Bombyx mori: one gene and its partner. Each later gene encodes a partner of the first gene's protein in a complex. Links are inferred from orthologs where the notes say so. Each region holds a gene or a part of one and is shown on either strand. Other genes may lie near its edges. The genes, in order: cytoplasmic dynein 1 intermediate chain and dynein molecular motor protein light chain 1.

Evidence for each region.
Region 2: the proteins of cytoplasmic dynein 1 intermediate chain (region 1) and dynein molecular motor protein light chain 1 are in contact, whole or in part, in a crystal structure (PDB 3FM7), measured with the Drosophila melanogaster proteins. The link is inferred for Bombyx mori from reciprocal best matches to the Drosophila melanogaster genes sw and Dlc90F. Residues at the interface, in NP_477075.2 of Drosophila melanogaster: Asn109, Leu110, Ser111, Val112, Tyr113, Asn114, Val115, Gln116, Ala117, Thr118, Asn119, Ile120, Pro121, Pro122, Lys123, Glu124; in NP_477356.1 of Drosophila melanogaster: Gly72, Ala73, Gly74, Leu75, His76, Thr77, Ala78, Ser79, Ser80, Cys81, Tyr82, Trp83, Asn84, Asn85, Ser90, Cys91, Thr92, Arg94, Tyr101, Ile103, Phe107.

What each region holds. Positions count from the first base shown.
Region 1 is NC_085115.1:15,808,547-15,821,625, forward strand, and holds part of cytoplasmic dynein 1 intermediate chain, read right to left. Parts: intron 12,183-13,079; coding exon 12,162-12,182; intron 11,403-12,161; coding exon 11,355-11,402; intron 4,762-11,354; coding exon 4,591-4,761; intron 3,918-4,590; coding exon 3,758-3,917; intron 1-3,757. UniProt on the Drosophila melanogaster protein: Acts as one of several non-catalytic accessory components of the cytoplasmic dynein 1 complex that are thought to be involved in linking dynein to cargos and to adapter proteins that regulate dynein function.
Region 2 is NC_085113.1:8,147,502-8,160,799, forward strand, and holds dynein molecular motor protein light chain 1, read left to right. Parts: upstream 1-7,245; 5' UTR 7,246-7,346; coding exon 7,347-7,382; intron 7,383-7,455; coding exon 7,456-7,621; intron 7,622-8,955; coding exon 8,956-9,104; 3' UTR 9,105-9,324; downstream 9,325-13,298. Other genes in the region: palmitoyltransferase ZDHHC2, read right to left, coding at 4,316-4,422, 4,902-5,023, 5,095-5,260. UniProt on the Drosophila melanogaster protein: Acts as one of several non-catalytic accessory components of the cytoplasmic dynein complex that are thought to be involved in linking dynein to cargos and to adapter proteins that regulate dynein function.

The DNA of each region.
Region 1 (13,079 bases):
ACTCTCTCGTCCTGGTCGTCGAACGACAACCGGGTATCGTAGAGTTTGGCGGTATATGTCAGCAGATTGGGATGGATTGCGTGAATTTTACGCATCCTACCCATGGGGGCGGTTCTGCTTTTCCTCTGCTGATCCTGACGTCTGTGCGGACCGTCTTAAAGACGTGGTGCTCCGGGGGATGGAATTGTTTATTCCCTCCTCTGAAGTGCCCGTTGGGGGTCGCAGCAGACCCTGGTATAACAATGCCAGTAGGGATGCTGCACACCTCAAGCGGTCCGCATACGTGGCATGGGATAATGCCAGGAGACGTCGGGATCCTAACAACTCAGGGGAAAGGCGGAAATATAACGCCGCTTCCAGGTCCTACAAGAAGGTAATTGCCAAGGCGAAGGCGGAGCACGTTGCTAGAGTTGGCGAGCGATTAAAGAGCTATCCCTCCGGGAGCCGTGCTTTTTGGTCGCTCGCCAAAGCTGCAGAAGGAAACTTTTGTAGGTCTAGTCTCCCACCACTGCGCAAGTCCGATGACACTCTGGCCCACAGCGCGAAAGAGAAGGCTGACCTTCTGGTCAAACTCTTCGCCTCGAACTCGACTGTGGACGACGGGGGTGCCACACCACCGAACATCCCCCGGTGTGATAGCTCCCTGCCGGATATCTGCTTCACACAGTGTGCAGTTAGGCGGGAGCTCCGACTCCTGGACGTCCATAAGTCGAGTGGGCCAGACGGCATCCCCGCAGTGGTTCTGAAAACGTGCGCCCCTGAGCTGACACCTGCGCTAACGCGTTTGTATCGCCTCTCTTATTGCGCTAACAGGGTTCCGTCTTCATGGAAGACCGCCCACGTCCACCCTATCCCCAAGAAGGGTGACCGGTCGGACCCGTCGAGCTATAGGCCTATCGCGATAACTTCCTTGCTTTCCAAGGTGATGGAGCGAATAATAAATACACAACTCCTGAAGTATCTTGAGGATCGCCAGCTGATCAGTGACCGACAGTACGGTTTCCGTCACGGTCGCTCAGCTGGCGATCTTCTTGTATACCTTACTCACAGGTGGGCTGAAGCCTTGGAGAGCAAGGGCGAGGCTCTTGCTGTGAGCCTTGATATCGCGAAGGCCTTCGACAGGGTCTGGCATAGGGCACTTCTATCGAAGCTACCATCTTACGGAATCCCCGAGGGACTCTGCAAGTGGATCGCTAGCTTTTTGGATGGGCGGAGCATCACGGTCGTTGTAGACGGTGACTGCTCTGATACCATGACCATTAACGCTGGCGTTCCACAAGGTTCGGTGCTCTCCCCCACGCTTTTCATCCTGTATATCAATGACATGCTGTCTATTGATGGCATGCATTGCTATGCGGATGACGGCACGGGGGATGCGCGATATATCGGCCATCAGAGTCTCTCTCGGAGCGCGGTGCAAGAGAGACGATCAAAACTTGTGTCTGAAGTGGAGAACTCTCTGGGGCGAGTCTCCGAATGGGGTGAATTGAACTTGGTTCAATTCAACCCGATAAAGACACAAGTTTGCGCGTTCACTGCGAAGAAGGACCCTTTTGTCATGGCGCCGCAATTCCAAGGAGTATCCCTGCAACCTTCCGAGAGTATCGGGATACTTGGGGTCGACATTTCGAGCGATGTCCAGTTTCGGAGTCATTTGGAAGGCAAAGCCAAGTTGGCGTCCAAAATGCTGGGAGTCCTCAACAGAGCAAAGCGGTACTTCACGCCTGGACAAAGACTTTTGCTTTATAAAGCACAAGTCCGGCCTCGCGTGGAGTACTGCTCCCATCTTTGGGCCGGGGCTCCCAAATATCAGCTTCTTCCATTTGACTCCATACAGAAGAGGGCCGTTCGGATTGTCGATAATCCCATTCTCACGGATCGTTTGGAGCCTCTGGGTCTGCGGAGGGACTTCGGTTCCCTCTGTATTCTGTACCGTATGTTCCACGGGGAGTGCTCTGAGGAATTGTTCGAGATGATACCGGCATCTCGTTTTTACCATCGCACCGCCCGCCACCGGAGTAGAGTTCATCCATACTACCTGGAGCCACTGCGGTCATCCACAGTGCGTTTCCAGAGGTCTTTTTTGCCACGTACCATCCGGCTATGGAATGAGCTCCCCTCCACGGTGTTTCCCGAGCGCTATGACATGTCCTTCTTCAAACGAGGCTTGTGGAGAGTATTAAGCGGTAGGCAGCGGCTTGGCTCTGCCCCTGGCATTGCTGAAGTCCATGGGCGACGGTAACCACTCACCATCAGGTGGGCCGTATGCTCGTCTGCCTACAAGAGCAATAAAAAAAAAAAATAATAATAATATAATATCGCATAGTATATAGCTCATAGCACAACAATATCGCGCACCATACATTGTTATGGACACGTTCAAACTGTACTGTACTATATATTATTGGCTATGTATAGGCTGCTATACTATATGGTACTATAGTATAACGTAGTCTGAAAGCAGCTTAACGAAAATAATTAAATATGAATCCTCTTTAAAAATCCAATTTAGATGGGTACTAGTTTTTATTAAAATATTTTTTTTTTATTGCTTAGATGGGTGGACGAGCTCACAGCCCACATGGTCTTAAGTGGTTACTGGAGCCCATAGACATCTACAACGTAAATGCGCCACCCACCTTGAGATATAAGTTCTAAGGGTCTCATTATAGTTACAACGGCTGCCCCACTCTTCAACCGAAACGCATTACTGCTTCACGGCAGAAATAGGCAGGGTGGTGGTACCTACCCGCGCGGACTCACAAGAGGACCTACCACCAGTAATTACGCAAATTATAATTTTGCGGGTTTGATTTTTATTACACGATGTTATTCCTTCACCGTGGAAGTCAATCGTGAACATTTGTTGAGTACGTATTTCATTAGAAAAATTGGTACCCGCCTGAGATTCGAACACCGCTGCATCGCTCAACACGAATGCACCGGACGTCTTATAGCTTAGGCCACGACGACTTTGAAAATGATTGTTCTAAGTGGGCATAGGTGGGTAGTTTTATAGTCTATTTGGTATTTATTAGTTACCGGAGCCAATGAACACTGAAGCCTGAAAGCTGCCAAATACTTTGAATCATGGTAGAAGTTTACAAATTTACTACAGGCATAAAATTTGTATAAGGCATTCGCGCATGATACTGCACATTATATCGTGCAATGGTTTGCTCTCTGTTTAAAATAGACATAACAACACCTTATTGACATCCATGTTTCATTCGATTTTAAATTTATATTTTTTGATCGACTCTATTTGTATCTATCTAGAAACTTAAAAAAACACCATCAATAAATTAGCCTATTACGACATTATTCAGTGTTCAAAGACAACGGGACTAATTGCGCCGTAAACTGCTTTATCTAAGGTTCTTTCTCTATTTTAAACATTTTTCGTATGTCTTATTTTAGTGATATCTATCTACGTTTGCCACTAGGGGCACTAAACACACAGGTTATGAAGTTCCTCCTAAAGCCCTCATTCGCACGGGTATTTTAAAAACGTTGCGTTAAAACTCGGCGTTGGCGCTTTTATAACGTTCTCGATGTGACGTAATCTGTAACGCCCAACGATTAGCGCTCAAAATGAAACACTGCGCGATAAAAAAAAGCGTCGCATTTTAAAAGCGCTGATGTATGAACACATACTAGGAAATGCATCTGTTCTATTTGAACGCTTTTTTAAGGCGCGCTAAAAAAAACTCCCGTGCGAATGAGGCCTAAGGGTTGAGTAATGAGCGGAACTCACAGAGCGTTCTCTCCGTCGCCCCCGCCCGTGTAGTCGGTGTAGATGTCGACGGACTCGGCGAGCGCGCGTTCGATGACTCGTCCGGCGCGACTCATGAACCTCTGGAACTCGGCCGACAGCATTATCGTCTGCTTCTCGTCAGCGCTCAGCTCGCGCACCGCTGAGATGCCAATACGAGAGGAAAATTCAAAAACAAACCTAATGCTGTTTGGTTTAAGCGATATTTCGCTTAATACGCAATATTTATCTTTGCAATTAAAGGTCCGGTTTATGTGGTACTCCAATTAAGTTTACCGCATTCAAATAACTGAAGTATTTTTGTTATGATGTTTTTTCAAATTTTAAACTTTAAATGGATCTCGTGTAAAATTGCTAAAATGTCGCTTAAATCAAGTAGTCTTACACCCCTCGATATGCCTAGCAAACAGGGGTTTGAGCGGTATGAGCGGTTTTCAGACAACAAATAATAATGTATCAATGCAAATAATATGATACTGTCAACTATGTAATGCGTTGATCTTTAACATCATTTTCGTGAAACTGATACTAATATATACAGTTCATGAATATATTCTGTATCGGTTTTCGGTGATTGCCTTTTTCAATGCTTCTGCACAATTGATATACGTAATGATACGTATTTATCATAAGGCCGCGCGATACATTTGTCTTGCCCAGTCTTGCTTATTTGATCTTTGGCACATAGTTATAGGCAGCGGCTTGGCTCTGCTCCTGGCATTGCTAAAGTCCATGGGCTTCAGTAACCACTCACCATCAAGTGGGTCGTATGCTCGTCTGCCTACGAGGGCAATAAAAAAGCAAGATACACCAACCTTTCTTCTCTTTCTCTTCGTCTTTCTTCTCGACGGGCGCATCGGTGACTGCGGGTTGGACCTCCTTGACGGTGGGCAGGCCGTGCGGCAGTATCCCCGGGGGCAGTTTACCGTGGAAGGCGGCCTCCTCGTCGTCTCCTTGGCGCGCCACGTCGCCGTCGAATGTAAGCACTGGACGGTGAATAAGAATGGCCCTCGACGAGCGTGTGGTGTGCGTGTGTGTTTAACATACAGCTTGATTTATTTTCTACGGAATTTTCTTATTAGAAAGATCCGCTTATACCAACAATAAAAATATTGACGCGAAATTGAGCACTAATAATAATAGGTAATCTGTGACTTTTGATAGTTGGCAAATTATCGTCATTGCACGGTCGTTTTAATTATCAAAAATAGTCGACTCGAATTTAGACGAAAAATACATATTATTTTTATGCAAGCTGTACGTTACGCGCGATAACTTCATGAAGGTTTGTTATAATTAGGTACATTAAAGTTTTTCAATTTGTTTAATTGTGACTTCATGAAATTACCTTTATGTTATAATGTGTAATACTGACATGACTAATGTGCATGATTATGTAACCTAGCTACAGGTGTCATGGCTACCGATGCTGATCTAATAGTGATGGCGTTTCAGTAACATATGAGCAAATGTATTTGACGTTTTTAATATTATATTCCTACGTTTTGTTTGAATTAAAAGCTTGTGTCGATTAGTAACTTTTTACGAAATGATCGACTAAGCCAGTTCTGGAATGAGAGGCTGGGCCACACTGCTCATGTGTTACCAAACATTTTAATGATAATTTTATAGGATGCATTGGAACCGTTCCCAATGTAGACAACCAGTGGTGATTCTAAATGCAGCGATCTTTTTTACCAGCACTTAGGGTGCGTTCAAGTTTTTGTAAGCAAAGCTTAAGAGGTGAGGTCTATTTTCTTATTTGTTTTGGGGGGTATATTATATTACTTAATTGTTACAAGGAGGACCAACAGCTTAAGTCTAACATAATAGAATAGAATAAAAACATATTGAAACAGCCAATTAAAGGTATAAAAAAATCCAAACGCTTTTTATTTCTTCTGAAAACAAAACTTTTCTCTTTTGTACATTACTATATATTATCTACCTAGTTTTATTACATTAACCGACATTCAAATTGGGGAATTCCGGTCTTAGCACGATGGTTTGTAACGAATATTTTTCGAATCAAGGTTCATGTTAATTTTTATGATGCTGTCAAAATTTCGAGCGATTTATTTATTTATTTTGTTAGTTCGTTTGATTACGTAATACTTGAAAGACCTGTTGTAGTAACACAATTGATATAGTTGTTGCAGAGTACGAGCGCGCGTGGCCTTTATTTGTAGTTGCAATCGTAAATACACATTTTCGTTAGTATGTGTACCCGATGGAGCGGTCAGCAGACAGCTTTAGCTACATATCCGGTCATCGTTCTCGCCGAACCCGTCGCTTGCAACGAAGGGCTCGACGAGTCAATTAACCCACAGACACAGCCCACTGAGTTTCTCGCCGGATCTTCTCAGTGGACCGCGTTTCCGATCCGGTGGTATATTCTGCGAAACGCTGCTCTTGCTAGGGCCAGTGTTAGCAACTCTGGTTTGAGCTCCGTGAGCTCACCTACACGTTAGGGTGAAGCTGAAATAGCTTCTCAAGGCTATCTGCATAAGTAGGAATAAAAAAATTGAGTCTGTGTCTGTAGGTTAATTCGCTCGTCGAGCCCTTCGTTGCAAGCGACGGGTTCGACGAGGACGGTGACTGGTGCTTGTGGTACCTAAAAGCACCGTTAATGGATCAGGAGGATCCGTAATGACGTGTTTTAGGCGACGTCGACTGTTTACCATTCGATCTGCAGGATCGAGCATGTAATTTCCAGGGGTCACGACAAGTGACCAGGTTCTCATGTCGTGTCGCCTTCTCCAAGTGCTGCCTCTCAAGGCTATCAGCATAGGTAGGAAAAAAAAGCTACATATAGCCTACATTCACGCGTATACAAATAGGTCACTCACACAACTAAGGCGGCGCGCAGTCGTACTTCGCAACAACTATACGCGGAATGAACTTTCCAGTGTGACGCAGAGCGTTCGTCAACTGCATTAACTTAGGATTGGCTGTTCGTAAACAAACTCTCTAAAACCACTAGTATCTATGCTAATACTTTTCACGTTTAGATAATATCTACAATTTAAAGTTTCAGCTTCGCGAACGGTTCCCTTACATCCAGCATGATATTGCAATGAAACAAAAGCGAATTGAAATCACTTTCGGAAAGAAAAAAATACAACACGAAAGCAGTTTCAATTCATCTTTTTAAGAAGAAAATGGTAATTGAAGCAACAAGTCAATTAAAGTTCATCTTATTTATAAATACTTTGCTGACATAACAAAAGCGTAGTCTATGATGGAAGATTTAACGTCATCATTTGTCTAAGTCCAAATTAGACATGTTCCAATTTTTCGAAAAGAAATCGAACTTTGTTCTCAGATTGGTCCGGTATCGACGCCCAACCTAAGTTATTAAAAGTGAGAGATTTTTTTTTTTCATAATTACTATGATTTTCGAAAATGTTATTCAAAATACATTACTTAATCAAATCAAAAAATATATTTTTTATTCAACATAAATGAAAGTACATACTTGTTGAACGTCAAAAGAACTACCGCCAATTCACAAGAACTAGCCTCCGTCCTGAGAAGAATTGGCAAGAAACTCAGCGGGCATGTCTTTTTTTTTAATATGTTTTTTTTTTATATTAGGTTTTTTTTAAATATGAAATTTTTACAATGAGTATTATAACGTAACAATTACTACAATATTGAAATGCCCGGAGCGAGCAACTCATTCCCACTTTGTGCAATCTTCTAGTGCAAAAATTATATCTCTGTTACATTTGTAATAGCATCAAAGTGTACAGCAAATATTAACAACTAACATTTACTCTTTCTTTACTTGTTTTCCCATTAAATATTGCGTATTAATTCGACAACAAATTAAATATCCCGAGACGCGTGCGGACAAATGACAACGTTTAAAATCAAATGGTCGAGAAGCGTACGGATTAATTTTCTAATAACTAAAGCGAGAACAGAGTTACAGCAATATGTGTAAATGAATCTAAAATATAAATTTGTTCAAAAATTTGCTCACGTTACGTAGTTGTACGTTTTTATTAGTCTCGTTGAGCGAACACCCTGAGTGTAATTTTGGTATGCTTGATCGTAAAAATAGCCTCCACTCAAATGCCCCTCGAAAGATTTCCTCACCGGAGTAGAGTAAACAAACCAAAAAACAGTAGATTTGAGGAATATTGTAATGGTCGACTAAAGATACCAAACTCGAGTATGGTTTGGATTTCTCGAGGCGTCCTCGGATGAGTTAGAGTGGAGGAAAATTTGAGGAATATCTAAAGATATGGGTGTAAGCGACATACGAATCATTTTGCACTGGCTGATTAGTAAATGGAGTTCCTGCAACCTACAGCCAAGAACTGTGAGCACTAGTGAACGACAATTCGCGTTACGTACTGATAGTACATAGATATGTTCGTTAGCATTCAGATTCAAATGTAGGTAACCCTCCTATAACACGCTAGATACGTTCCTACCAAGTCCCGTGTTGTGCGAAACCGTGTTATATGAAAATAGAAGCTAATACACATTTTTCAGAATGAAACATTTCCACTATGATGCCTGTATGTATATTTTTACCTATTATACATAAAAAATAAACAGTAAAATTTCGATTATTCAGTAATTTTCAAATTCAATTCTATCGAATGTCATTATCTAAATTATTTTAAACAAAAATCTTATTTTTTCCCCCACTTATTCGCTGGTACCCTAAGGGAGCTATTCCAGATACGCCCGGACGGGTAGGTGAGCTCACGGGCTCAACCTGAGAGAAATTGTTAACACTAAGCCTTAGCAAGAGCAGTGCTTCGCAGAATCTACAACCGGATCGAATCGCGACCCACTGAGAAGATCCGGCGAGAAACTCAGTGCGTTGTGTCCATGGGAAGATCATGATATTGTGTTGTTCAAGTACCGTGTTATATATAGAGGGTTTTTGAGAAATTTTGTTTTCATGTAACAGTGGAACCGTGTTGTAAAATACCGCGTTATATGAGGATTACCTGTACTGCAATGGAATCAGAAGGATATTCTGAAATCAATCTTTTAATGTAGCGTGGTGAGTGTAAGGGAACCAATTGTGAAAAAGAAGATTTTAAGGCAATGCTGTCGGTCCTGGTGAGATCTAATAAGCCGAAATCGAAGAATTGAATAAATAACGATCATTAACTCAGGCAGAGCCAGTGATGAGCACCCAGTGTCCCATCCCCCAAGTTTATTGGAGGCTATAGACATTACTACGAGAATACGGTCACTCACTTTGAGACACCAAGTTGAAGGTTTAATTATATTGTATAATACCCGTCTCATAATCCCAACTAAAACTCATGGCTGGTTAATGGCAGATATTGACGGAACGATACCTACCTCTGCGTGCTCACATTACGACCTAGCACCATCACAGTTGTAAGAATTTCAGTTAGTGTTACCAGATATTTCTGAGTTTATTATTTTAATAAATCAGGTACTCTCAAGCAAAATGAACCATAATTTATAGGGTTTTTAATGTGATGATACCCAAGCTGCACCATGCACGAACATTGAACGTACCAACCGTTACAGCCTGGCCACGGGACATTCGCCGATGCGAATATTCGCGCGGTGCGAACGGCGAAGCGTCTAGCGACTAAAACAAGCGCATAGAAATGTACCTAACAAGCCACGCGCACCGGCGACCGGCGAAGCGACCGGCGAAATGTACCGAGCGAATCGCGCGATGCGGCGGGCGAGCAAAACAAATGCATGAATACGGACGGCGCGAGCCACGGAGTCGAGCGGTAGTCGCGGCGAATAGTGCAGTGATTAAATGAGTTTAGTTGTTTTCGCCGCGAAAAATTAACGCCGAAATTTTTATATTTTTTATTTATTTTTTATTTTATATTTTTAAAGTCGTCGTGGCCTAACGGACGTCCGGTGCAATCGTGTTGAGCGATGCACCGGTGTTCGAATATCAGGCGGGTACCAATTTTTGTAATGAAATACGTACTCAACAACACTCAACGTTCACGATTGATTTCCACGGTGAAGGAATAACATCGTGTGATAAAAATGAAATCTTCAAAATAATAATTTGCGTAATTACTGGTGGTAGGACCTCTTGTGAGTCTACACGGGTGGGTACTACCACCCTGCCTATTTCTGCCGTGAAGTAGTAATGCGTTTCGGTTTGAAGGGTGAGGCAGCCATTATAACTATACTTGAGACCTTAGAACTTATATCTCAAGGTGGGTGGCGCATTTACGTTGTGGATGTCTATGGGCTCCAGTAACCACTTAACACAAGGTGGGCTGTGAGCTCGTCCACCCATCTAAGCAATAAAAAAATAAAATAGCTGAAATACTAGCTAGACCAGCTATTTGGAAGTCTAGCCACCCAAAGTATTTCTCGTACTTCTTGTGGAATTCTCCATCTATAGGTATACTCCGATTCTTATTCAAATCATGTACTTCACAATCTTTTCCAAATAATAGGTCCTGAACCAAAAAACTATTAATTTGTAAGCAATATCGAGATAATTTCGATATAGACATTTCGCTGTCGGACTTCCTTACTAGTCGCGGCGGCGAACGTGAGTACCCGTGGCCTGCAAACGGTGCTGCGCGAATGGTCGCCTCGCCCACCGCTTCGCTGTTCGCACCGCCGATCCCCGTGGCCAGGCCGTTAAACTCATATTTTATATCTTCTTTTTATCGTGAGCATGAATGTAAGAAAAATATACCATATTACTGTAACAATATTCTCTGTGGATGCATTCAGTTTTCAAGGATATTTCACTGAATATGACACATATTGATTACCACGATTTTATCTTTAGTTATTACTATTATTAATAATGTGGACCGGCTTGATTGGTTAGTACTAACCAACTAAACCCCGTTCAGATATCAAGATCGAATCGTGACAATCGTTATTCTGTGATTTGATGGCGACCCAACATCATTTTCTTTTGAAACTGATAGCATTTTAAAGTATTTGACTACGATCAATCATATTTATTATATTATCCAATTGAAACGACTAAGCGCAGCTCACACATCTTTAATAGAAGCGTTAAGTACGACGGTGACAGAAAGCGTTTGTAAAAATAAAAAGGGAAATATAATGCCAAAATTAAAAAACTTCCCGAGCTCTCCACAAGAGAGATAAGTCTCACAGTTGAAAAAAAAAAACAAAGATACATAATATAATATATTTAGCTGTATGTTGGTGACTTAGGTTCATGCATATTTGTATTGTTTCTGTCACATGCAAATGTTTTTATTTATGTTACGTGCAGATAGTCTATGTTTTAATAATTTTTTTAATTACTCATCACCGAGCTGGCAAGTTTGTTTCATATACAGGCTGATGATTTTACGTAACTTCGGAGGTTTTTTTTTAGATTGTATATTTCACAAAATTGACTGAAAAATTTATGTGCTTAGTTAACGAATGTATAGTTAGCGTTCGATAATAAATAGCTGTTAAATACGTACAGTAATAGTGAGTAAGAAAAACAACACAAGGAAAACCATGCAGTGTAGTAAGTAGGCACAGGCTCTAATAAGGATATAAATATTATATTTTTAGTTTTGAATGAATGTTTGTATGATTCGGATTTGGAACCTACCTGTGAACTCGTCCTCCCACTCTAAACCCGGGTTTAGATTGTACTCGTCTTGAAAAGGGGAGGAAAAACAAAAAAAACAATGTCAGTATATTTTGACCATTTTATATATATAAAAAAATTGTAATAATAATATTATTTGTATTAAAATTTTATACATAGCAAGAGTGCTTATATATTTTACAGCATGACCTATATTTTTGGAATTCGCAGCGACAAACTTAACAAAATTAAAATCGAAAACTCGAAAACTGTTCTCTAAATATATAATAATAAGTTCTAGTTTGGCGCTACGAGAGTCCGTTGGTGAAGACCTGTGCAGTGTTTGTTAATCGAATCGAAAGGGTAAGTCAGCGTGAAATGATATGGCAACCCATACTACCACCATAGTCAACATACAAATATGATTATTTCATATTTAATTCGTTATGCGGCCATTATAATTATAATTAAACAATATCGTTTTGTACCACGTGGAGAACTCTGGAAGGCCACAGTAATAATGCATGGGCATTTCAACATGACACGATGACGCTTCTAATCATCACATCACCCCCCGGAAATCAGATTGCTTGATAAAGCGTGAATCAAATGATAGAGTTTATCAAGTTACCTGCAGCGCATCTATACAATGTGTTAGTATGAAAATAAACCAGAGGTGTGACAGGAAGAACCGAATATTTACAAGTAATAGGATATTAATGTTGTAATGTAAATAAAAAACCGACACCCGAGTTAATGAATTCGTATGTGAGATGTTGGTTAGGAGAGATTACGAGTTTCAAGCGTCCTGGAGGAATAATAACTTACCGTAATAATCGGTTGCGTGCGCTAGAAGGGGAACAAAATAAACATATATGCCGTCAGTTAAATGCTTTCTGCAAAATCTGTTTCATTAAAAATATCGGTTAACTTCTATACAGTAAAATGGCGTGCAGTGTATCGAAGCATATCTAGAGCCGCGAAATGCCTATGAAGAGATTTTATGAGAACATCTTCCGTATAAAATATAATTACTAAAATGTTATTAGTTATATTTTTCACGCTGCGTGACTATCCTATGAAAAAGGTCCTTAAAAATAAGGCCTTTTACCCTTCCAAGTAAAAAGTGCATACCCTATTTCTATGGACCCAGCACAAAAACTAAAAAGGTACCTATTTATTTATTCATGTAATTTATTAACTAAAGTACGTTTTTTTTCTCTATAGATAGTCTAATAATCGAATTCGCTACGGCCAAATAATCTTATACATTTATATGTCATCTTTTTAAATTGTTTCTGTTCGATTACAAGGACAAATGTACAGTTTTACTTTAACTTTTAATGGCTTTTAAAAATAGACTAAAGTCGGCTTAGTTTAGACCATCGATATGAGAAAAAGAACCTTGCAACGACCGACGCAAATATTTTGAACACGTCGCTGCGTACCTATTTATGTTTATTTACATACTATATTTTATTTAAATTACATGTAATTTAACAGTATTCATACAATTCCCCGTGCGATTCAGTGCGATTACGAACGTATGCAACATGCTTGTATGTAGTTGTTACTAACAAACAAACACTCCCAAAGTGACAAATATGTATTATAGGTATATAATATGTTAAGATGGCCGAATGTATAAAACGATTTGAAAGTACACAACGGACATATGTAAACATGCACGTGCATGCAAGTTATGGATTATTAAAATTGGGCAGTATCTCATTCAATTCTATTTTA
Region 2 (13,298 bases), on another chromosome or scaffold:
TATAGTACATAAATTAAGTCTTATTATTCTACTTTATTACAAGGAAGCTATTCTTTCTTTACAGGATCTTTCAAAGATCTGACCTACGGAACGGGTCTGGGAGTATTCAGTGTTTTTACAATATTTTGTACAGTATAATTGTAAAAAATAGCTTTGTTGTTACTTTAGTTGAGAGCGAGGGTTTTTTTGTAACTTCACTACCTGGTAGCTATAAAAAAGGACACCATTTTCAAGATAGAAAATAACCAAGCTTTCTTAGACTAATAGTCTACTGGAACTCAAATTTTCGATTATGCTAAAATTATGCAGTTCCGCGGGGTTCTGGGATCTAACTGTATAGAGATGTTTTTTAATTCAATATTCATCGCTATTTTAGGATCGGCGTTACCATTCGGGATCGTGGGTAGATTTTACGTTAAGGAAAGAGTTAGCCAGGATGACTATCCTAGGTACTTGACTGTACTGACTGAGGGTATCGATTGCCCGAAGAGAATTATCGAAAGGAAGTTCCTACATCTCAAACGAAAGGAAAGATTCGCGTCGAGCTCCCCCTTTGAAAAGACATATCCGAACTTTTCGGAAAGATAACTTTAATGCGCCATTTGCTGAAGCATTCCGGCTGCGCTCTAAAGATTTATCGTGATGAAGCACTTGTTCTTACTAGAATAACCTATAGAAAAATAAAAAGTTTCATTGATGAGGAGGGTTAACTGGGTCGGGGCTCATAATGAGAGGGGTGAGAGCTACGGTCGGGGAGTGGAACGTGGTCCTTCGACTAGATTGCGAAAGAAATGATTCAACAAGAATCCTCGCAAGATGAGTACGGGATTTGCCGGCACGCCAATGTCGTATTATTGGGATACCAACTACATATAGGTATCGTGATATCGAAGAGGAGGGTTTCTGTTGAACCCTGATAGAAAGCGTTCCATGAGGCGGTGGTGCACTTTTCGAACAAGTATTTGGAGCGGAAGGTGTTTGTACCAAAAATTAGCATTACAGCTTTTAAAAAACATTACAGCTACCTTTAATCTCTATATATAAAAATGAATTACTGTTCGTTAGTCTCGCTAACACTCGAGAACGGCTGGACCGATTTGGCTAATTTTGGTCATGAATTATTTGTGGAAGTCCAGAGAAGGTTTAAAAGGTAGATAAATATGAAAATGCTCGGAATTAAATAAAAATAACAATTTTGTTTTCATCAAATTCCTTTGATGTGTCTCCCGTCGGACGGATTCCTTTTGTTTGTTTTAAGTTTATTTTATACAAAACTTTAGGTCTTTTATTTATAGATTGAGGTAATACGAAGTCTGCCGGGTCAGCTAGTCTTTAATAAAAATTAGTAATTAATTATTGTGTTAGAACATTGTTTAAATACTGCCATTACAACTAGACTCCCATGTTTCCATTATTTTATACATATTTATCGCTAAAATAAACAAAAAAAAAGATAATTCAACTCGAGATTCCAATACTAGTTACCAGAATATCAAACTTACAATGTGACTAAATAAAATATACATCTCAATTCTAGATCTACAGAATTTTGATGAATATCAGACCTCGTTAAAACTGGTAGAGTATTAGCAAATGTTTCTAAGATAGTTTTTTTGCTTTCCGCTTTAAATAGACGCTTGCTGAATTTCCTTATCGTCATTGTCAATCTAGAATTGAGAGACAGATGTTTTAATGGATGTGCGATGTTGGCTTAGAATGGCATAACCTAATCCCGTGTTTTTGTAATTTCGTTTTATTGCCTAGATGTGTGGACGAGCTCACAGCCCACCTGGTGTTAAGTGGTTACTGGAACCCATAGACATCTACAACGTAGATGCGCCACACACCTTGAGATATAAGTTCTAAGGTCTCAGTATAGTGTCGTAAAAGTCAAGTAAGGGATTCACAATGGAGAAAGAGCAGCAGAGTATTATTGCAGGATACTACGATCGGTAATACTTGCTGTATGCGCTGTATTGTAAAATTTGCACCACCATCCTGCTTATATCGTGCCTTCAAGCCGCGAAGGCCCGGAGAGCTGTTATAGAATAAAACTAAGACCTCGGCCGTCATCTCTCTCAGTCGTTCACTATGGGTCCGGTTACAGCTTTACATCAGGTAGAACGTGAAATAGTTCAACGCATATATTTTTTAAAAAGCGTATGTTAGTGGCAATTCGTACTACCGAGACGGCAGACGTTTTTCAGAACCTTCGATTCGCCTCGAAGGCTCCGTCGGCCGGGCGTCCTTGGGGTGAGTGAGGATGTAGTGTTGACCACGGTAACTACTTTATCTCATCCGGGTTCTGACCTCGGAGGGGATTGGACGCTTGGACGAAGAGCGCAGGGGAGTCGTTTGGTAGGTAGGGTCCTAAAGCATTCTTGGGACCGCGGTTTGCAAACGCGGACCAGACCCACATACTCCGCGCGTCCCCTAGGCGCAGAGACCTCGAAGGAGGTTCGGCAATGCGTACATATGTACATTGAATTGCAATACATGTAGCTATGTAGTGTTAAATATATTTCTTAATGCTAAATAAATTGTCTTATTTCAAATACTATAGTTTAAATGACTCACACTGTTGACCTTAAATATTGTGGTTTTGAGTTTCATTTAATATATTATCACAGACAATCAAAGATTAATTTATCGTTTTTGATAATAAATTATTATTAATATTTTCTTGTGTGAAATCTCAAAATCAGAAAGTTTATTTATAAGTTTTTGTAACATTCAATTTGCTAATTGAAAATAAAAATAAATTCTTCCAAAAAATCTCTCTTGTGTTTATGTAAGGGCAATAATCTAAAGTAATCCTATAACAGAAGGTCTAGTAAAAGAAATGGCAAAATATAGTTAAAAACTGTGTCTCACAAGCTTCAACTATCCAATGTCACCGTTTCAGAGTAACTTAAAACTTGATGATGCCCTTGTAGGGAGTAGGCAAGTACTCACACACTCAATGCAGCTCCACATCGTATGAGGCCTACGTCATATCACCTGACTCTTGGGCCCAGTGGCCAGTATTTTTGTTAATTCGTTTTTGTATATAACCATGTGTTGTTATTATTTTCATTCAGTGTGCTTTGCAAAATTCGCCTGACAAATACAAATATTAAACCTCACCATTGATTATCTTCTGTACACTGCTTCACATCAGATCTATTTTGAATACTATATAAAACAGAAAACTGAAAGTGGCAGAAGGCCTTAGTACAACCAGCCATTTCAGACCCTAGCTAGTTGGTGCAATAACCTCCAAACGGTGGCCAGCAAGAGGTCGATGAGGAGAACGGAAGACCGGGCTCATTGGTGTGGATTGGGAGAAGCCTATGTCCAGCAGTCGACAACTTAGTCGGACATAGTCCAAAATTATAAAATATAGTATTAATTTTGTAATAAGGAATTACTGTTTATGTCCAAATAAATATACAACAAAAATATTGAAATCATTTTGAAAATGGTGAGATAGTTTATATTGTTGTTTTTTTTACCAGTTTTCTGACCACAGCTTTGTACTCATAGTCACAGATATCTAGATACGCAGTCAAAGCCACATGCTCATTGGATAAAAGGTCAGATAAAAATAATTCTAAGAATGAGTATGTACTTAAGGTTATAATTTCTTAAGTATTCCTTCACTATTTTTATTGCTTTTCAACAATACAGAGACACACTGGGTTCCTTTGCTTAATTAAATATATTCATTCTGGGCTAATCTATATAATTCAACGCAAAATGCTTCCTTAACTTTAACATCATTATAATATACAATACTCCAGAATGAATTAACAACACAAGATGTAATTGCCTTTAAAATTCAAACTAAAACAACATAAGCCCTTAATCTCTTTTAAAATTAATATTTTAAACAGTTTTTTTATACTATGCAAAACTGAACTACCCTCTTCACTGAATGACAGACAATGAGTGATTCTGTCTAAGTTTTTTTTTTAAACTATATAGTTTTTAAGTTTTTAAGGTAAATCATAAAGGTTTTTCTTTACATGTATGTATAATAATTATGGTTAAATTAATCAATTTCTAACTATTTTCCATAGTTCAATAGATGGAAGGGATAAAGTCCCCTATTAGTACCATACTACTGACCACACAATGCCTTGTTTATATATAAAATTGCCAAATGTATCTGCAGATAAAGTTATTTATCAACCTAAACCAATCAGGCTTACGTTCAGTTTAACTTTCAGATGTGAGAGGTTAACATCCTAATTATGGTTTACAGTAGTTTAATGGTTTATGCGTGGGTTAAATAAACTGAGTAACAATCAGCCAGACTAAAACAATGAATTACCTTGTAACAATTGGCAAATCCTTAGCAAAGTTTTCAAGAATTGTTCTTTGTGAATCTTCAGATTCTGCACTCAACATTTTCTCTAGTTCTGCTTCAGGCAGCTTGTACTAAAATTTATTACATGAAAATGATATTTATTTTGTTTAACTTTAGGTATTAATTTCTTTCACAAACAAGTATTATCTTAATTTATTTGTTCATATATTTGATGACTCAGATTCGTTTTTTTACATGGTTTGGTATGTGAATCTTGGTTTATAATTGTAATTATAATTTGTAATTGTAATCTAGTTTGTATATCTGCACTTGTCCTCTGTGGCATCATCAGTGCATACTACATCTACTACATCAGTGTGGAAGAACTGAGGAAATTGTTTATGCATACCAAATACGTACTTAAGATCTTTCATTTAATGTGTAAGTATAGAAGCTTATTTCATATGATTGTGTTAAATAAACATTCAATCATGAGGACGACTTGCACTTGAGGCTAAATATTTTTTTTTACCATAATTTCAACTAAACAGAATGAAAATTTTGTATATGCGATAATGTTTGGAAATTTCCATTAATAAAGAATACTTACTTTTTCAGGGATTGGTTCTATCTCTGCAAAAATTGTTTTCCAGTAAGACCAGACGAACATTATTAGGAGTATGTGGTACAGCACCAAATAAATCCATTGTTGGACTGTGCTTTGTATTGTAACTGTAATATAATTAAGTCTAATGATTTACTATTAATTAAGTGTAAAGTTGGTAATAGTCTTAAACACTTACAAATACAGAGTTGAATAACGTAGGCATAGTATGACCAAGTTATTATAGACACTATGAATGACACTGGAAGCCATTTGAATCCTTTCCAACACCACATGTTGCACGTTCGACAACAGGCACAATAACCAGGTGATGAAATCCTACTATTCTGTACTGATGAAGCCATTTCGATTACATTAATAAATCAAATTGAAAATAATCCATGTTCACCTAAAAAAGAGACAATAAAAAGTGACGACACTGACGGTTGACTGAGTGACATTTCCATTTTGTAAAACGTCAATTTAATCTTTGCATAGAATATAAAAATATAAGTTAATTGGGATGCCATTGCAACGGCTGCCTTACCCTTCAAACCAAAAACCATTACTGCTTCACGGCAGAAATAGGCAGGGTGGTGGTATCTACCCGCGCGGACTCACAAGAGGTCCTACCACCTTACTAGTGGAGGACCTCTTGTGAGTCCATCCATATTAGTGTTATTAATGTGAGAGTATTTCTTTGTTATATTTTCACATCAAATAACTCTGAATTGTTTGGGGTCAGGAATTCGCACTACTTTTTCCTACGTGATGGTGACGATAGGCTGAGTGTTTTAGTGTTAGTTTAGCCTTTAAGATCTTCGCCAACAGAGTCCTACATATCCTGTGCACCCGCTGACGCAGGAAACTTGTAGGAGAATCATACCCCAGCTTGAAAAAAATATCTCTGTTACCGTCAAATTTTAAAGCACATTTCTTATCCACTACTTTTTCCTGCAAACTAATTCAATAATTTGCGATTCCATATTCAGATTTATAAGAGATGGCGGCACTGGTTCTTAATACCAAATCCAGGATAGATTTTATTGTAATGCAGCATGTAGGTAGTAGATCGTAATTTTATAGCATATATGACGCATGACGTATTAAAATGTAATATATACTTCTTACTTGTTCTTACCAGTTCTTACTTGAAACTATCAGTCATAAGTTGATGTCATTGTCAATCTGTTTTATTATCGTTTTTTAGTGTTTTTGTCAATGTATCTAATGTAACTAAAATAAATTTTACTGTTAATTTTAGCTTATTAAGACCTTATTCATTAAAGGTTTCTCCTATTAAAGCGATTTTTACTATTTAATAATTCTTAAAAAGGTAAGTATTATTATATTATATTTAATTTCTGTAAATTTATTTGCGTGTATTATTTTACGCCGTACGTGAATGTTTTTGAATATTTCAGGAAGTTTTAGATTTTGTTCTCAAAATAAAGTTATAAGAAAAAATGTAACGGGTTTTTGTACACATCAAAAATAGCGTATAACTATTTTAGCGATATGGTTTTAAGGTTTTTTACTTCAAAACTCATTATGAAAGAATCACGATGAAATACACTGATACATAATAGTCGAATAATTGGCATTGATGATGGATATTGGCTATAAACCGAGCACCACTAGATCTTGACCAGTCCTGGTGAAACTGGAAAGGCCTCCGGGCCACCAGTAATCCTTCAATCATAAAAAAAAAAATCTTGACCATAGTGCCAAGTACCTATCTATTAACTTATGTGTATTATTATATGGACTTTTTGGCGGGAAAGCGAGGTGTCAAGTTGTGCGATTTGTTTTATTTTGTCTATTTAGTGTTTCTTCAGGCTTAAATGTGTAATAATGGTGGTTTATTAACTGTTTAGTATTTGTGAAAGTGCACAAATGTGGGAAAATGAAACAAAGCCGTTGGACGTAACTTCTCGGGATCCTCCAAAAAGTCCACTGAAAAAATCTCAGTAAACGACCACCATTTTAATGAGATTATATTTCATCCCATATCATCTCATCTCATTTCATTTAATTGCATCCCAGTTGATTAATGTCTCAAATTCTTCATTTTATTTCACTCCATATTAACATGTTTCATTAAAGTATCCCATATAATATAATCTCATTTCATTTATATTTTTATTTATTTCATGCCATGCCATGTTTCATATTAAATTAATCAGCTTCATTTCATTTCATAATATCATATTTCATAAAAAATATATATATAAAAGATTAGGCAGTATGGTGTAATACTTTTGTCTTTCCATTTGGAAAAATAAAACTACTACTACGACTATCTATGGTATTAACAAAAAAAATATTTATGGTATTATCTATGCCGATGGCCAAATTGTTTAGTTTGTCGAACTTCTTTGGTTTCGAAATTCAAACAGAAATTTCATTTTGATAACGTTCAATACTTACTACCTATCTTGAAACAAAATAATGGAAGTCAAAGAATGCAACGATTTGGACGAAGAAGTAATAATAGTCATTTGTGTGTATTAGTTGGTAAATATTGATTCAACAAACTTACCAACATGGTGTATTTCAGAACCAATTCATTGTCGACGACGTGAGTAAAATAATTAAAGAAGCTATAGAAAATTCAATTGGAGGCACTGCTTATCAACACAACAATGTCAACCAATGGACTTCAGCAGTTGTTGAGTCATGTCTGGGGCAGTTGACTAAGTTACAAAAACCATACAAATATGTAGGTACGTGCGTTGAGAATCTAGATTATTTTAAGTAACACAGCATGCATAAAATAAAAAATCATTTATTTTAGGGTCCCTTGTATAAGCTCTCTTAGCAAAAATAAAAAACAATGTTTAAAATTGTATTTTTTTATTGCAAATGAACCTTGAATTATGGAGTTTGCAAGACTCATTTGCATGACTTTTGGAGCTATCACACTGGAATTAATGCTTGCTTTTATTGTGATAGCTAATCTGACCATCAGGAAGAGAGAGACTTATTACATCATTAATAAAGTAATAGCTTAAGGAGAGTGGAGCAGTATACTTGCATCTTTTATGCTATAATTGAACAAACTGTTATTTAGAATTTTCCAGTATTTTGTACAGCATTTAATAATTCAAATTGAAATACATAATTACAAAATTGTAATATTAATGCCTTAAAGGAGCACTATTTGTCGATTTAGTATTAGTTATACATATTTCATTATATATGTATGTGTATAATGAAATATGTATATGTTATTTATGTGTGTAATTGTGTATGTATATAGTCTGATATATTATATATTAGTTTTTTTATATTATTGTTGTTATTGTGTATTGTATCAATAAGTAAATTGATTAGATTGTACTCTTCTACCCACTTATGTAAAGCTCTCCCTCTTTAAGAACGGTTAGCTGGTAGATAAATCAATTGTTTAGTTAGGCTCGCCATTTTATAACTTTTCGCAATTATTGTATAGTATTAATTGTATGTACAATAAACACTAAAAGTATTTACACTATTTGGAGTAATTTGGAAGACTGGCTTCTAAAATGTTGAGCATCTATAAGGAGCTAATTGAACTTCAAATCTCCACAAAAGCTTATAAAGCACAATTCTTTTTTTTTTATTGCCCTTGTAGGCAGATGATCATACGACCCACCTAATGGCGAGTGGTTACCGTAGCCCGTCGATTTTAGCAATGCTAGGGGCAGAGCCAAGTCGCTGCTTATCATTAAGTATTCTCCACAAGATTCGTTTGAAGAGGAGCTCATTCAAAGCTGGATAGTACGTGGCCATAAAGAGCTGGAAACGCACTGTGGATGATGCTGCGATTCCAGGTAGAATGGATGGCTGTGCCCCTGGCATTGCTGATGTCTATCAGTGATATTGTTCACTATCATGTGGGCCGTGTGATTGTTTGCCCACAAAGGCATTAAAAATTTAGAGAATTACCAATACACAAATATATTGGTAATTTGAATAAATGAATTTTCTATTTTATAAGATAAAAGTTAAACCTCTAATGAAGAAAAGCTAAAATGTGTAAATTTACTTTTATCCAATATTTGCTTGTTTTTTACAGTGACCTGCACAATACTGCAGAAGAATGGTGCAGGACTGCATACAAGTTCTTCTTGTTATTGGGATAACACTACTGATGGCTCATGCACGGTCCGTTGGGAGAATAAAACTATGTACTGCATTGTCTCAGTCTTTGGGCTTGGCATATAACATGGATTTATTATATTCATTTACTGGCTTAAAATCTCTTTTATAATACTAATAAAGCAAATTTTTAGTATACTGATAACATAATTATCAAATCTGTATGTTTTATTATGAACTCTTATGTTTCAATTAATAAATAAAGCTTTTATTTTACACTAAATGGAAAAGTATGCTATGTCATTTTCCAGTATATATGCATAGAGAAATAAAGTGTTAATAAACAGATAAGTTTGTTCATTTATGGACAAAAACTTTGGGAGAACAAAGAACTTTGTACCTAAACAACAAAACCTAAGAAAGTAAAAACTGGTTTCATTGAATCTTCGATTTGATGTATATAATTTGTATGCGTTTTCTTGGATGTAGTCTTGTTTTGCATTCCACTGAATATAAATACTGAAAATTCTATTCAAAAGTACAAATTGTGTAAGAGGGAAATTGGAGCATGGTGGTCTCTTACGAAATATATTTTGAGGCTGTTAATTTTACTAGAAAAATCTCAGATTATCTAATAAAAGGCTTCTGTTAGGGCACAACATTGTCACATACATTTATCAGGAAAAGAGATTTCACTTCGAGATGTTTAGGTGCCGAACATGAGGAGTATTGGTTATATTGAGGTGTGTTTGATTACAGGAGCTTTCTGAGAAGGCCCATTGAGCGATTATAAAGAAACCAGTATCATGCGTGATTCCATAAAGAAAACGTTGATCTGAATTTTTTTATATTGCTGAATGAATATAAAACACTATCAGCTTCTTTTTTTTTACTTTTATTGCATAAATGAGTGAACGAGTTGACGACCCACAGTTGCTCACTTTGTAATAAAATTGAGGTCTTAAAATTTTTGTTGACACGAGTAGGTACCTACCTACTTTAGAACAGTGCCGTTACATTTAACATATTATTATGGAACGTTTACCTAACATTGGTAACCCATCAGAAACCCACGGTAGATACGTTCCTACAAACTCCGATGTTATGCAAAACTCGTGTTATTTAAGATAAGATGACTACAAAAAGGAGAGGATTTTTCTAAATAAAACATTCTATACCTGTATATATATTTTAATCTATTATACATAAAAAATAAGCTTACTGTAATTTTCTAAATAATTTTAAATAGAAGTCTCATTATATAATATTGGGTATTGGGGATTTTTTTTTCCGTAAAATACCTACCTTGCGATATCTGGGTTACCTGTACCTCCTGTCTTCTTACAAATTAAATGAAAGGTACCTATATAGCGTTTCGTAGCAAAAAAAACCGGCTGATTGAAATATATACTCATCAGTGCTTTCTTGCACTATTTTATACCAATGAACAAGGCCTGATCTCATGGAAGAAAACTAAACTTTTTTATGCCCTAAATATTTTACAAGTACTGTTCACCGTTCCTAAATACTGAATTGAAATAAAAACGTGGTCCCTATTCAAGATCCTCCATCGTTCTGTTCGAAAAGTGGCAAGACAATGTTCAATGAACTGACAAAATACAATTGTATAAAATTTTACAATAATTATCAGAAAAACAGTTAATAATACTGCATTGTATGCAGAGCATAGTAACTTACTATTTGTGTAGATTGAGCATTGTAAACCAAACAAAACGTAGGAAAGGTATCATGAAAAAATCATGAAGAAATAAAATTACCGATCGAAGGTGATCATCAAATGATGACTTCGTTTATTTAACGATGAGCAGCAAAACCGGCTTTCCAGAATCTCAATACAAAGTAATTTAAATGACGGGTTCCACAATATTCACAACTACATAGTGTAGTCTAGATCTAGTGAATCATATCTAGTGTAATTAACATTACGTAATAGATTTTTTGTGGGTATGTTCCCGGAGATAAAATTTTACTTAAATCATGAATTTTTTCAAACGTTCCCGCTAAAGCTCCTTGGCATATTTGTATCACGTGACCATCATCGATCCAATGGTTGAACGCTTCTCGGGTCCATTCAACTCAACTTTGCGAGCTCCGTGGAGTGGCGTGGAGAGGGCAACTTCACAATTCCGATTCTATTCATAAAAGGAAATGTTTTTATATTGCTGTCTCTCTTACTCATGTAAAAAATTGTAGTGTTTGAGTGAAGTAGCAATATGTTTGATTGGAAATTATTGAAAGCTGGGCCAGGCAGGCCACTTCAGACCAGTCGCCATGTAAATTTTTTTGATGTGGGTGTTGTGTCTCGGCACGTCAAATGCTTCAATGAATTTTATTATTCTCAAAAGAACATTGATTTCGTGTAAATCGTTATATTATTTGTAAATTCGTGCTCATTCTTAGTCCATATTGTGAACAGTGAAACATATTGTGTTGTGATTGTGTACCATCTAATCTGGTGACGGCGGGTAATAGATTGGAGGGGGAGCTGCTAAAATACTACGATAGGATAGTAGAGACGTTTTACTACTCGGGAAGTCGGGAGCGCTAAGCGCTTACAAAATTTCTCATCTCGACGCGAGCGATTACGGTCTTCCATTTTGTTTTAATATGCAGTTTGGTTGTTTACGGTGTGCATCGTGTACAGAGCAATTGCAAGCCACGGTGAGTACTCGGTGAAGTGTTCGCATTGTAAATACGTTGTCTGCGCATGTAGGCCTTACATGACAATAAACATGCAACAATGAATAAGTAATAGTTTGGTAATAGTATTCGATTTTGTGCACCGCACGGCGCAGTCGTGGTAGATGGGTTGCGGCACGTCATTATTTAGGAGAAGCACCCCCGCGGGTATGCTCAGTGGTACGTAAACATCGTTCATCAAACACAAGGTGAATTAATTTTGTATCATTTTAAATTGTAGTTGATAATCATGCGGTGATACTGTGAAGTGTAAATTTAATAAACACGTTACAAGTCTCATTTTAGTAATCTATCAGTATTATTATCAGCTGATTACTCTAAGCGGCCGTCCGCAAACGTCAATGTTATGTATTCAATCACAGGCTACTTGAATACTAGAGTACATCTAGAATAAAATTCTCTTGTGTGGATATTGATCTTGCCTAGGTGAGTACACGACTTTTGTAACTTGTGTATTTACCTAATCATTGCATATACAGGTGTCAATAATTTTAATTACAATATTTCTAAATTGGTTTTATAATTAATTTTATTAGCTCAAAAAACAGTAGTAGTTTAATCTAAAATAAATAAATTCTAAAAATAAAACTAACCTTAAGAATTCTAAAGCTTAAAAGTACTTTAATCTAAAGCATTTTCTTAAAGCATCTTAGAAGAGTATTATTGTTTTTTGGTATTGTGTAATTTCTATGAAAATAATGAAATAAAACTAAAACCTTCATCACTCAATAATAAGTTAGTCTAATGTTCTAAATGATATTAAATAAAAAATTTGATTGATTTTGAAATTTACATAATATGCACATTGAGATTACAAGATTTGTCTTCAATAACAGTTGTCTTTAGTGATAAACAAAAAAAAATCCAGTAATTCAACTCAGACCTTAGTCGAATGTACTGAAAACTTCCTTTTCATCTATTTGCTGTGACTTAAATATTGTCTTAAACTAGCTAGCACAATTTACCTTCAATTTCAATGGTGTCAATGGAGGTAGGACCTCATGTGAGTCCACACAGACGGGTACCATCACCCCGCCCAGTTCTGCCGTGAAGCAGTAATGCATTTTGGTTTGAAGGGCTGGGCAGCCATTGTCACTATATTGAAACCATAGAACTTATATCTCAAGCTAGGTGGCGCATTTATGTTGTAAATGTCTAGGGGCTCCAGTATCCACTTAACACCAGGTGGGCTGTGAGCTCGTCCACACATCTAAGCAATAAAAAAAAAACTTATAATCAGAAATTTGATAATGTAGAAAACGAGAGTCATCCTCTTTTGTTATATGAAATCTGGAAAAACTGCTCAGAAAAGAATGAGTATATCAATTTTCTCTAAAAACAAATACAGACTAATGGAGAATATTCAAATTTGAAATCATAGTTTTTTTATTAATAATATTGACGCTTGAAAGGCAAACGTGACTAAGCGACAATGCATGAACTTTACAGTAGACTAATTTAAAGTTGAAATACCTGATAACAAATTTTATTTTCACGAATCTAGCTGTAGTAGAATCTAGCTAGTAGGATTGAAATGATTTTAATAGACCTAGAAATATATATTTTTTGCGCATCGAATATGGTTATTGCCTATCATTT